Callithrix jacchus: one gene and its partners. The protein of the gene in region 3 binds, or shares a complex with, the protein of the main gene of each other region. Links are inferred from orthologs where the notes say so. Each region holds a gene or a part of one and is shown on either strand. Other genes may lie near its edges.

Region 1 (3,500 bases), on a different chromosome or scaffold from region 3:
TAGCCTGTGGGCCCTGGCAGAGAATAGCAGAAACTGAAGATTGGTGCTGCGTACAACACAGCAGAGCCACAAACCTGGCATCTGGGCAACAGCAGATCAGGTGGACAGACACTGACCTTGGAGCCAGATCTGAAATTTAGAAAGTGACTAAGTCAGTGACTTACCTTCCATACCTCAGTTGTCTCATCCATCAGGTGAAACTAATGATACACCTTCTCCATCTCAGATGAAGGTCCGTATATTACACCTTACAGTCTTTATAAGCAGTAAACTGCTTTTGTGAATAGGAGGTTCTTTATATTGGGCTAGCGGTCTCAGGGAAAGTACAGTGCCAGGAACTGAAGGAGATTACCTGGGCTTCTTTTTTTTTTTAATATAGAAGTTTTGTCATCCAGGCTGGAATGCAGTGATGCCATCATAGCTCACTGTAACCTCTAACTCCCGGGCTCGAGCAATCCTTCTGCCTTGGCCCCTCAAGTGTCTGGGACTGCAAGTGCATGCTACCACACTTAGTTAATTTTAATTGTTTTGTAGAGATCAGGTCTTGCTGTGTTATCCAGGCTGATCTCAAAACTCCTGGGCTCAAGCATTCCTCCCACCTCGGCCCCTTAAAGTGCTAGGATTATAGGCATGAGCCGCTGGGCCCGCCTTGCCTGCCTGAGCCTTTCCTTCCATCCTTCCTTCCTCCCTTCTTCTCTCCCTCCCTCCCTCCCTCCTTTCCTTTCTCTCTCCTTCCCTTCCTTCTTTCCTTCATTCCTTCTTTTGAATTATAGAGATGCAGTAATCCACCTTATGGAAATTGTAATATGATGGAAATTAGAGAACAAATTTGCCATGCTATTCATTGACTTGCAAGAAGAAAACTGGAGAACTTTTACTGTTTTATTGCTTCTCTTTGCATTATCCTTTCAAGCTCCGATGTGGGGTGTGTGTGTGTGTGTGTGTGTGTGTGTGTGTGTGTATAAAATAAAATTTTTTTGGCTTAGGATTTAGAAGAAGCAGTTTTAGAAACCTTATAAGACCAGAGTGTGGGATAAGATTGAAGCAAGAAGTAATTAAATGTGCATTAATTATTTAAGGCAGAAAATAGTGCAGTGGTCACTTCTGGATTCTGCTTTTTGAACTCAGTTAGTACCCTGAGATCACAGAGGAATGGCACTGTTTTGTGCTTGTTCCCCTTATTAAGCTCAGCATGTGGTCCAATTAATGCAGTGATCCAGAAGGCAAGGGAGGTGGTGGTGGCTTTGTACTGTTGCCTTAAGGACAGGGGGCTGTGTTCCCCGCCTGGCTTCCTCCTGTCATAGGCCTGGCTCAGGAGTTGTCTCTGCGTGAGGCTGTGCAAGTCTGTGCTGTGGCCGTTGCAGCTCCCCACTGTGAAATACAATGTGTGAACTGTTGATGCATCATGCAGAATGATTCCATCTTCTCTGTGGGTCAGAGGCAAGAGTGGAGCTATTGTTGATGAAATCAGAGATGTGAGAGGGGTCCACGTGGATTAGAAATGGTGAGCTGGCTTGCCTAACCAGATGAGAAAGCTGCTTATTTCTGGGGCTCTGTCTTAGAGAGGAGATCCTGCATTGCATCCCATCAGCCACCGGCCAGAGCCGCCAATAAGAAGCATCATTGGCAAGGTAGCCATTTCAGTGCACCGTGTATAAGAATGCCTCTTTCTATCCAGGTCAAGGCTTGGCTTGTTTTTTTGTTTGTTCGTTTGTTCATTCACTGTTAGAATTTTTTTTCAAGGGGCACAACTTTCCACTCTGCAACTGGTTTAGAAGGACAAGGTTACAGGGCAATAAGAATGACCCTGGCTTCCTAAAGGAAAGGGAAGAAAAAGTTCCCTTTCCTTTAGGAAATGGGGAGATTCTGGAGATGGGGCATCTTTGGTCCCTTATGGCACCTAGGTCTTGAGCCCTGTGGTTTGATGACTGTTTTTCTTCACCCCCTGCAGATGGAGCGGCAGCGCCTCGCTCGAGAGAAGCAGATGAGGGAGGAGGCTGAACGCACGAGGGATGAGTTGGAGAGGAGGCTGCTGCAGCTGAAAGAAGAAGCAACAATGGCCAATGAAGCACTGGTGATTTCTGAGGGACCGGGGTTCCAGGAGGCTACCTGGGGACTTCCTGGGCTTTTCTGGAGCTCAGTCTCCTGAGGACCATGAGTTACCAGCATTTGCTTTGATATACTTTATTTCAGCTTTTAAAAAAGTTACTGGCTTTTCTTTCCACCTGTGTTGGCAGAAGCAGATTTAGGTTAGCTCATGTGCAGCCAAATTCCACTTTCACCACGAGGTTGCCTTTATAGCCTGGGCACTACTGATATTTGGGACTGACTATCCTTTGTTGTGAGCTAGATGCCAGTAGCAGCACCTCACCTTCCGTTTGTAACAATCAAAGCATCTTCAGACATTGCCACGTCTCTTTTTTTTTTTTTTTTGAGATGATATTTTGCTCTTGTTGCCCAGGCTGGAGTATAATGGTACGATCTCAGCTCACTGCAACCTCCGCCTCCCAGGTTCAACTGATTCTCCTGCCTCAGCCTCCCAAGTAGCTGGGATCACAGGCGCGTGCCACCACACTCGGCTAATTTTTTTGTGCTTTTAGTAGAAACGGGGTGTTACCATGTTAGCCAGCCTGGTCTTGAACTCCTGACCTCAAGTGATCTGCCCGCCTTGGCCTCCCAAAGTGCTAGGATTACAGGCATGAGCCACCATGCCCAGCCTGCTACAAGTCTCTTGCAGGGAACAAAAAGCTCCTCTGGTTCGAACCACTGATTTAAAGGGAAAGAACAGAGTTTAAGTTGTTTTTCTCCGCGTGACACATAAGCCTGAGCTGAAGTGGGTACTCAGAGGAGGTGCTCTTTTTGTTCCCCATGGGTGCAGCCCGAAGGGCCCTTCTGAAAAGCTGGAGAATGTGGCTTGTCACCTCTTGTCAGAGGGTCATGGGGGGCACTCAGCAGCAGGGCCCCAGGAGTCCAAGACTCTGGTTTGTTCTATTTCTGTTTTTAAGGCAGATCTGGGCGGGAGAATAGCACATGATCCCACTTTAGCTAAGAGCCCCGTGCCTTCCAGATGCGATCCGAGGAGACGGCTGACCTGTTGGCTGAAAAGGCCCAGATCACCGAGGAGGAGGCAAAACTTCTGGCCCAGAAGGCTGCAGAGGCCGAGCAGGAAATGCAACGCATCAAGGCCACAGCCATTCGCACGGAGGAGGAGAAGCGCCTGATGGAGCAGAAGGTGCTAGAGGCCGAGGTGTTGGCCCTGAAGATGGCTGAGGAGTCAGAGAGAAGGTGAGGGGACGCTGAGCACCAGACTGGTGAGGAGGCTGGTGAAGGGCCACAGTCCAGCCTGCCCTGAGGCTGAGCTCCATAGCAGCCATCCTCAAGCTGCTTCCCCATCTTCTGGACTGGAGGGAGGCTACTTCTTTGCCAATGGCGACTGATGCTTCATCCAGTTTGGGGCTGGCGCTACCGGATGGGCATAGGAACTCAGTTCTCCTGCCAGG
Region 2 (3,363 bases), on a different chromosome or scaffold from region 3:
TCTCAAAAGTGTTTGCATAGGTTTACATTAGGAGGAAGGGGCATAATGTTATATCCAAGCCTCTTAAGAACCACTGCATGGCTTGGATTGGGTTTCCACCTCTTAGTAGTCTGACATTAAAGAAATTTCTTTTCTTTCTGTCTTTCTTTCTTTTCTTTTTTTTTTTTTTTTTTTTTTTTGAGATAGAGTCTCACTCTGTCACTCAGGCTGGCGTGCAGCGGCATGATCTCAGCTCACTGCAACCTCCACCTGCCGGGTTCAAGTGATTCTCCTGCCTCAGCCTCCTGAGTAGCTGGGATTACAGGCGTGCCCCACCACGCCTGGCTAATTTTTGTATTTTTAGTAGAGATGAGGTTTCACCATGTTGGTCAGGCTGGTCTTGAACTCCTGACCTTGTGATCCGCCCACCTCGGCCTCCCAAAGTTCTTGGATTACAGGGGTGAGCCACCCACAGCTCCCGGCTATAGAAATTTCTTACTATGCTGGAGCCTCAGTTCTGTGCATAAAATAGAGGAAATAGCATCTACCTTCCTAGGTGGCCTGAGGATTAGAGGTAGCACACATTTCACCAGGCACCCTTCATTTCCTTACTTCCTCAGATCCACGCAGGTATTCAGTTCCCTGGCCCCCAAAAATCGAATCACTCAAACAGATGATTTGAGCACTTCCCATTCTCATTCTGAATGAAGTGGATCCCATGTGCAGCAGGAGTGAGAATGCCTTCCCTACAGTAGCTCCCTCAGTTGTGATAGCAAGTTCTCCTTGGCTGCCCCTTTCTGGAGGCCCCCTCCACTGACTCAGGGCCTTGCTTGCTTTGCCCAGCAGATGGACCGAGCAGAGCACAAGGGTGAGCTTCAGACAGACAAGATGATGAGGGCAGCTGCCAAGGATGTGCACAGGCTCCGAGGCCAGAGCTGTAAGGAGCCCCCAGAAGTGCAGTCTTTCAGGTAAGCAGAGGGCCCCGGCAGCCCCCTTCTCCCTTTCTCAGCCAACCCACTGGCCTTAGCCTTCTGTCTCTGGTCTCACTGCTCCCATCCCTTGCTCACAGAGCACTGGCTTTCTCTGTAACTGATGTTCATCCTCCGCCAAGCCATCCCTGGCGATCCATGAGCTCTGCAGTGCCCTTCCCCTGGCTGTCTTTATCCGTCCCCACACAACTGAGCTAATTTGTTAGATCCTCTTGTTTAATGAATGAGCCGCCTGCTCTAGCCTTCCCTCATAGTGTTTTTTTTCTTTTTCTATTTCTTTCTTTATTATTATTTTTTTAAAGATGTGTTTCACCATGATAGCCAGGCTGGCCTTGAACTCCTAACCTCAGGTGATCCACCCACCTCAGCCTCCCAAAGTGCTAGGATTATAGCGTGAGCCCAGCCCCTTGTAGTATTTTCATCACTGCTAATTGTGGAAGTTGATAAATAAGCCTGGGGGTGATGGTTGCTCGCTGGGCCTCCCTGGCTCTGCCTGCCACCTGCTAGGATCTCAGGAAGTTGCTTTCTTGCCATGCTGGACCCTAGTGTATCCTTGGAGGACCCTGAGTGCCATTTGGCCTGGGCCTCCCATTCACAGAGTGCCTAGCGTTTAGACTTCTGATGTCCTCTCAGGTACACATTTGTGCATGTGCTTTAAAAAAAAAAAAACTCCTTTGTGAAATACAAAAATTTAAAATGTACAATAATTTGTACAACTGTCTTTGGGCATCTCTTAACTTTTTAACAAATTGAGAATCTAAAACAAACATTGGAAGTGGCCCGAGGGTCCTTTGAAAGGCTGAGAAGCCTCTGGGTCATCGTTCATGCTAATGTTCCTTTAAAGCAGTGGTTCTTAACCAGGGGTGATTTCTCCCCTTCTCCCTGGGACATTTGGCAATGAGCATACATTTTGGGTTGTCATAACTGGAGGTCAAGGATACGGCTAGCATCTAGAGGGTAGAGGCTGAGGACATCGCTAAACATTCTGCAGTGATGTACAGGACAACTCCCACGACAAAGAATTATCCTGCCCAGAATCTCTGTAGAGTGAGGTTGAAAACCCCTGCTCTAAAGGGATGGCCTCTCTTATAGGGAGAAGATGGCGTTTTTCACCCGGCCTCGGATGAATATTCCAGCCCTCTCTGCAGATGACGTCTAACCGCCAGAAAAGTGTTTCCTTCGTTCTACTGACCAGGCTGTGAACATTGACTGTGGCTAAAGTTATTTATGTGGTGTTATATGAAGGTACTGAGTCACAAGTCCTCTAGTGCTTTTGTTGGTTTGAAGTTGAACCGATTTTTCAGTTTGGGTCCTATTGTTATTATTAAAAACAAGAACAAAAACAAAACACACAAAAAAACAGAAACAGAAAAAAAACCAAACCAGCATTAAAATGATAAGATTGTATAGTTTGTATATTTAGGAGTGTATTTTTGGGAAAGAAAATTTAAATGAACTAAAGCAGTATTGTGTTGCTGCTCTTCTTAAAATCCTTTAGATTTTTTTGTTTGTACAGCGCCACCTTTTAGAGGTCTTACTGCAATAAGAAGTAATGCCTGGGGGACGGTAATCCTAATAGGACTTGTCACAGAACAGCTAACTTTTCCTAGTTAACATATTTTGTACAATATTAAAAAAAAATGCACAGAAACCATTGTGGGGGGGATTCAGAGGTGCATCCACGAATCTTCATGAACTGTGACGTGTTTTTATGTGGCTGCCTGACATGGAGCGGGTGGTGTGATAGGCTGGGGGGCTAAGCAACCCAGCCTCTGTGGGTTTCAGGCCACCCTGGTCTCAGATGCCCAGTGAAGCCACTAACGTGAGTGAGGGGAGGGCTGTGGGGAGCTCCATTCAGTTTTATCTCCATCAATAAAGTGGCCTTTCAAAAAGAATCTCCTCTCACTCTTGTTCTCTTCTCCACCCCTCACTTGGTCTGTGTTTCCCTGATATTTGACTCTCCCTTTTCCAGTCATTTCTTTCCCACCCATCCCCAGTCTAGGAAACATTTATGTTTTCTTTTGCCCACTCCTTTCATTTGCTAAGTTTAAATGACTGCTCAATTCGTTAGGAATCCACATCCCCAAGTTAGATCGGGGATGCTGTCTGCACTGTCTCATTCTATGGAATTTCACCCCACCCAATGAGAGATGACTTCACAGTTTCTTCATATGAGCATCATTCCATGTCGTCCCCAACCCAGGGATAGTAGGTCCTGGAGCTTATGTGTTTCATGCTGCTTATGTGGCCCATGTTCCTGCCCAGCTCAGAGCTTTGCAGGGTCTATTGCATCAACATCAGAAGTCAGCCTCTAACAAATAGCAACAGCCAGAAATCTCTTCCTCCGTCCTCTCTGACATTACCCTGTTGTACCACCCAGCAAAGCATGCTGCAC
Region 3 (4,240 bases):
AAGCTAATTATTTTCTACATAATTGGCCCAGCATGCTCTCTCCATTTTAATCCCATTGATTAGGAAAGATGTTTGAGACAAGATTTAACTCTCACTTAGGCCGGAGTGCAGTAGTGTGATCCCTGGTTCACTGCAGCCTTGACTTCCTGGGCCCAAGTGATTCTCCCACCTCGGTCTCCCAAGTATCTGGACTACAGACATGTACCACCAAGCCTGATTATTGTTTGCAATTTTTATTGAAATGGGGTTTCACTATATTGCCCAGGCTGGTCTTGAACTCCTGGACTCAAGCAATCTACTTGCCTTGGGGTCCCAAAGTGCTAAGCTGGAGTGCAGTGGTGCGGCTCACTGCAACCTCTACCTCCTTGATTCAAGAGATTCTCCTGCCTCAGCCTCCCGAGTAGCTGGGACTACAGGTGTGCACCACCATGCCCAACTAATTTTTGTATTTTTAGTAGAGACGGGGTTTCACTGTGTTGGCCATGCTGGTCTTGAACTCCTGACTTTGTGATCCGCCTGCCTGGCCTCCCAAAGTGCTGGGATTACAAGCGTGAGCCACCATGGCCAGCGGAACATAATCTTTTAACAGGTTTTCACATTTGGATTTCTGAATACAGTAAGCAGCCAGTTATTACTTTAACATCAGAAAAAGACGTCTGTAATTTTTTTGTAGTCTATAGTAGAAAAATTACGAAAGAAGTTACTTGAAAACACTATATTTTCTAGAGGAAAAACTGGCAAAGGCACTCTTCACAAAGGGTGGACAGTACCTTACACATCAAACCCAGTGATCCCATCCCAGATTTTCTATTCAACTTTACTAGAAGTAAAACCTCTTGTCTTGTCACACCGTCACCGTTATTCCAGTTAGGCAATAACGACCTCCTCCTACGGATGCAGTTGACAGGTCAGATCTCTAAACTCTGCTAATCGGTCCTGGCTCAAGAACTTCTTCTTGGCTGATTCAGAAAATACAGATGCTGGAACCTCATGGGCTTGTTCGGGGAAAGAACGCTAAGCAAGAATAAAATTTTATTTCAAAGCGCCAAAACTCGAATTTTGAGGTCCACAGCGAAGTTTCCCAGAACAACTCAACAGTTGTTCCCTTCGGAGAACGAAGCTCCGTGAAATGCGCATCCCTACTCGGTCCAGAGAAAGAGATCAATGGGAAAAAGGATTCAATCAACCGAGTGGGCTGGGCAGGAGAGAGCCTTAACCCACGGCCGCGGGCGAGTCTTCTGGGCAGGGCAGGCGGGAGCGACGTGGGGCGACGCTCACGAAGGCTCTGAGCGGCGGGCCACGCAACGAGGCCCAGAGGCCTCGGTTGCGCGCTCCCTAGCTGCTGCCGGGCGGGCAGAAGCCCCCAGTCTTCGGCCCCCGCGCAAGCGACGCCGGGAAATGCCCACATCCGGGAAACCTGCAACGGAGTGCGGCGGCGGCGACATTGAGTGGAAGGCAAAATGGCGGCGGCGGCAGTGGCCTGGTGTTAAGGGGAGAGCCAGGTCCTCGGGACCCCCGCGACGGGCCACAGTGGCCCGCGGCAGCCCTCCGGCGTCTCTACCCGCTCTGCCCCACCAGGGATACTTGGGGTTGCTGGGACGGGCTCCGGCCGTCTAGGCGCCCGCCCTCGGGCCGGTGGCCGCTGTCCAGGAGCTCTCCTTTCCCCTCCAGGTAGGTCCGGGGCTGGCGTAGCGGGTGGGGCTCACTTCTCCCGAGCTGGAGTTGGCGGGGCGGTGGCCGCTGGGGCCCACGCCCATCCCCGCTGGCGGGGGTCCAGAGGTTGCTGTGGACTGGCGGGCCGCGGCGGCCCGCTCCGGGCCTGACTGGGCTGGTTGCATTGACCTGAGCTGAGCCCTGCCCTGGGGAAGCGAGGGTTGGCCGCGCCCGGTGCTGCAGGAAGAGCCCCGGGCATTTCGGCCTCGGAAGTGCACGTTGGGCAGGGAAGAGCCTACCTTGCTGGCGGCCTTGCGCCGACTGTCTCCCACCCCACCCCCAAACGCGGGTCGGCGGTGTCCACAGGGAAGGAACGGGAAAGGTGGTTCTGAAGGAAATTTGCAGTGAAAGAGCTACAGTTTTTTGAATCCCAGAGGGCTCTGATCCTGGGTGTATCTTGAAGAAATCCTGGGAGTCTCTTATTTCTAGTTCAATGTGATAAAGGTTACTGTTCATAGTTGGAAATGGTGGGAGAGGTGGAGAGGTCTTTACGGAGTAGGGGTGTGTATATAAATACAGAAAATGAAGGAACGACAATTTAGGGAACAGCGTTTTTTATAACCTGAAAGGGCTTGTAGCTCAATGAATGACTTCCAGATGACTTAATCCCCATTCTGACTTCTCTGTCAATTTCTAATGGAACATAATTTAATGTTTGTCAACTCATATGTTAATACAACTTATAAAACATATATCATCCTCCAGAAGTTATTCATAAATCTTGTGAACAGTAAGTATAGTCTCCTGCACAGAAATAATACTGTATAACTCCAGTTTTGGAAATGAATTTGAATGTTAGTGATCATGAAGCTTGTCAGACCTTTACGAATTGTTTATTGAAGGTTAAAAATTTTTATCCATTTTCCTTCATGAGGAAGAAAAGGTAGGACATTATAGTTGGAATGAATGTTCTCTGCTACGAAAACAAAGCTTATCTCTGATGGTAAAATGGGGTAGTTGATTCCCTAAGGCAGTGGAAGAGTTTGAACAGTGAAAGAAGTAGCATTGTGTTAGTTCCATTGGCTGCTACTGCAAGAAACTAGATCATGGTCCATTCCTGGAACAGCACATTCTGTGCCTAAATATTGATTGAATATGACTTGTTGCTCTCCAAAAACAAGTAAAAAAAATTTTTTTGGCTGTATTTTAAATGTATAATATCTGGCTTTCATTGTGTAGGTCGTTTTTATTTTTGTTTTTATTGCTAGTCCTTGTTATGCTGTATACATAGTCTTGGAATGGTTCTAACTCTGGTTATTTATTCTAGATGTTTTATTTATATTAGTGGGAGATTGTTATACATCACAAAAGTTAGTCATTGAATAACATTTCCACCAAGTAGAAGCAGCAGTCCTTTTTCAGCATTTTTCACTTTTGATCCCACAATTATTAGAAAGTGAACAGAAGAAAATGTCAGTATCCAGTTTCCTGAATATCGCTGTTTATACGAATGAGACTATGCTGCTAAAAAAAGAAACAGCACATATTATTGTTGCTGTCCTTATTACTGATCTGGTCAAAGCTATGACATAGTCATCTTTTTTTTTTTTTAAATGGGGACTCGCTATGTTGCCTGTGCTGGATTCCAACTCCTGGGCTTGAACAGTCCTCCCACCACAGCCTCTCAAGTAGCTGGGACTACAGGCGCACTACTGCACCCAGCTAGGGTACCTTTCTGATAAACTTAATTCAACCCAATCTTATGTAATGGTACCTGTTTTTTTCCAAAGTTGGACAAACTAATGGATGATACTTGTTTGTCGTTTGTATTTTTGATGAGGGTCTGAACTTTAAAAAATAATAATAAGGCCAGGCGTGGTGGCTCAAGCCTGTAATCCCAGCACTTTGGGAGGCCGAGGCGGATGGATCATGAGGTCAAGAGATCGAGACCTTCCTGGTCAACATGATGAAACCTCATCTCTACTAAAAATACAAAAAAAATTAGCTGGGTATGGTGGCGCGTGCCTGTAATCCCAGCTACTCAGGAGGCTGAGGCAGGAGAATTGCCTGAACCCAGGAGGCGGAGGTTGCGGTGAGCCGAGATCGCACCATTGCACTTCAGCCTGGATAACAAGAGTGAAACTCCGTCTCAAAAAAAAAATAGAGATTTGTCATACCCAGGCAGTTTGATTCCAGAGCTCTTACTTTTAACGATTAGGTTAAAAATCATTGAAAGTTACGGAGTAGCTGGGCATGGTGGCTCACGCCTGTAATCCCAGCACTTTGGGAGGCCGAGGCAGGCAGATCACAAGGTCAGAAGATTGAGATCATCCTGGCCAATACAGTGAAACCCTGTCTTTAAAAAAAAAAAAAAAGATGGTGAAACATCTCTACTAAAAATACAAAAAAATAGCTGTGTATAATGGTGTGTGCCTGTAATCCCAGCTACTTGGGAGGCTGAGGCAGGAGAATTGCTTGAACCCAGGAGGTGAAGGTTGCAGTGAGCAGAGATCATGCCACTGCACTCCAAGCTGGGCCACAGAGCAAGACTCTGTCTCAAAAAAAGAGAAAATAATACAATTGAGGT

The links. Proteins that work in one complex are often made in the same cells at the same time.
Region 1: the proteins of LATS1 (region 3) and NF2 are in contact, whole or in part, in a crystal structure (PDB 7LWH), measured with the Homo sapiens proteins. The link is inferred for Callithrix jacchus from reciprocal best matches to the Homo sapiens genes LATS1 and NF2. Residues at the interface, in NP_004681.1 of Homo sapiens: Pro69, Lys70, Phe71, Gly72, His74, Ala77, Leu78, Glu80, Ile81, Arg82, Ser84, Leu85, Phe88, Ala89, Asn90; in NP_000259.1 of Homo sapiens: Pro135, Glu136, Ala137, Val139, Leu140, Tyr144, Asn175, Leu176, Tyr177, Gln178, Met179, Met183, Trp184, Arg187, Trp191, Glu206, Ile210, Asp213, Leu214, Glu215.
Region 2: the proteins of LATS1 (region 3) and WWC1 are in contact, whole or in part, in a crystal structure (PDB 6J68), measured with the Mus musculus proteins. The link is inferred for Callithrix jacchus from reciprocal best matches to the Homo sapiens genes LATS1 and WWC1. Residues at the interface, in NP_034820.1 of Mus musculus: Ala546, Glu547, Ala548, Pro549, Ser550, Tyr551, Gly553, Pro554, Pro555, Pro556, Pro557, Tyr558, Leu562, Leu563; in NP_740749.1 of Mus musculus: Asp17, Tyr23, Ile25, Asp26, His27, Arg30, Thr31, Thr32, Ser33, Trp34, Asp64, Val67, Tyr70, Ile72, Asp73, His74, Lys77, Thr78, Thr79, Gln80, Ile81.

Annotation. Positions count from the first base shown.
Region 1 is NC_133502.1:200,266,626-200,270,125, forward strand, and holds part of NF2 (merlin), read left to right. Parts: intron 1-1,951; coding exon 1,952-2,074; intron 2,075-3,067; coding exon 3,068-3,285; intron 3,286-3,500. UniProt on the Homo sapiens protein: Probable regulator of the Hippo/SWH (Sav/Wts/Hpo) signaling pathway, a signaling pathway that plays a pivotal role in tumor suppression by restricting proliferation and promoting apoptosis.
Region 2 is NC_133503.1:31,343,133-31,346,495, forward strand, and holds the end of WWC1 (protein KIBRA), read left to right. Parts: intron 1-822; coding exon 823-947; intron 948-2,060; coding exon 2,061-2,127; 3' UTR 2,128-2,863; downstream 2,864-3,363. UniProt on the Homo sapiens protein: Regulator of the Hippo signaling pathway, also known as the Salvador-Warts-Hippo (SWH) pathway.
Region 3 is NC_133505.1:156,496,168-156,500,407, reverse strand, and holds the start of LATS1 (serine/threonine-protein kinase LATS1), read left to right. Parts: upstream 1-1,440; 5' UTR 1,441-1,671; exon of another isoform or gene 1,672-2,017; intron 2,018-4,240. UniProt on the Homo sapiens protein: Negative regulator of YAP1 in the Hippo signaling pathway that plays a pivotal role in organ size control and tumor suppression by restricting proliferation and promoting apoptosis.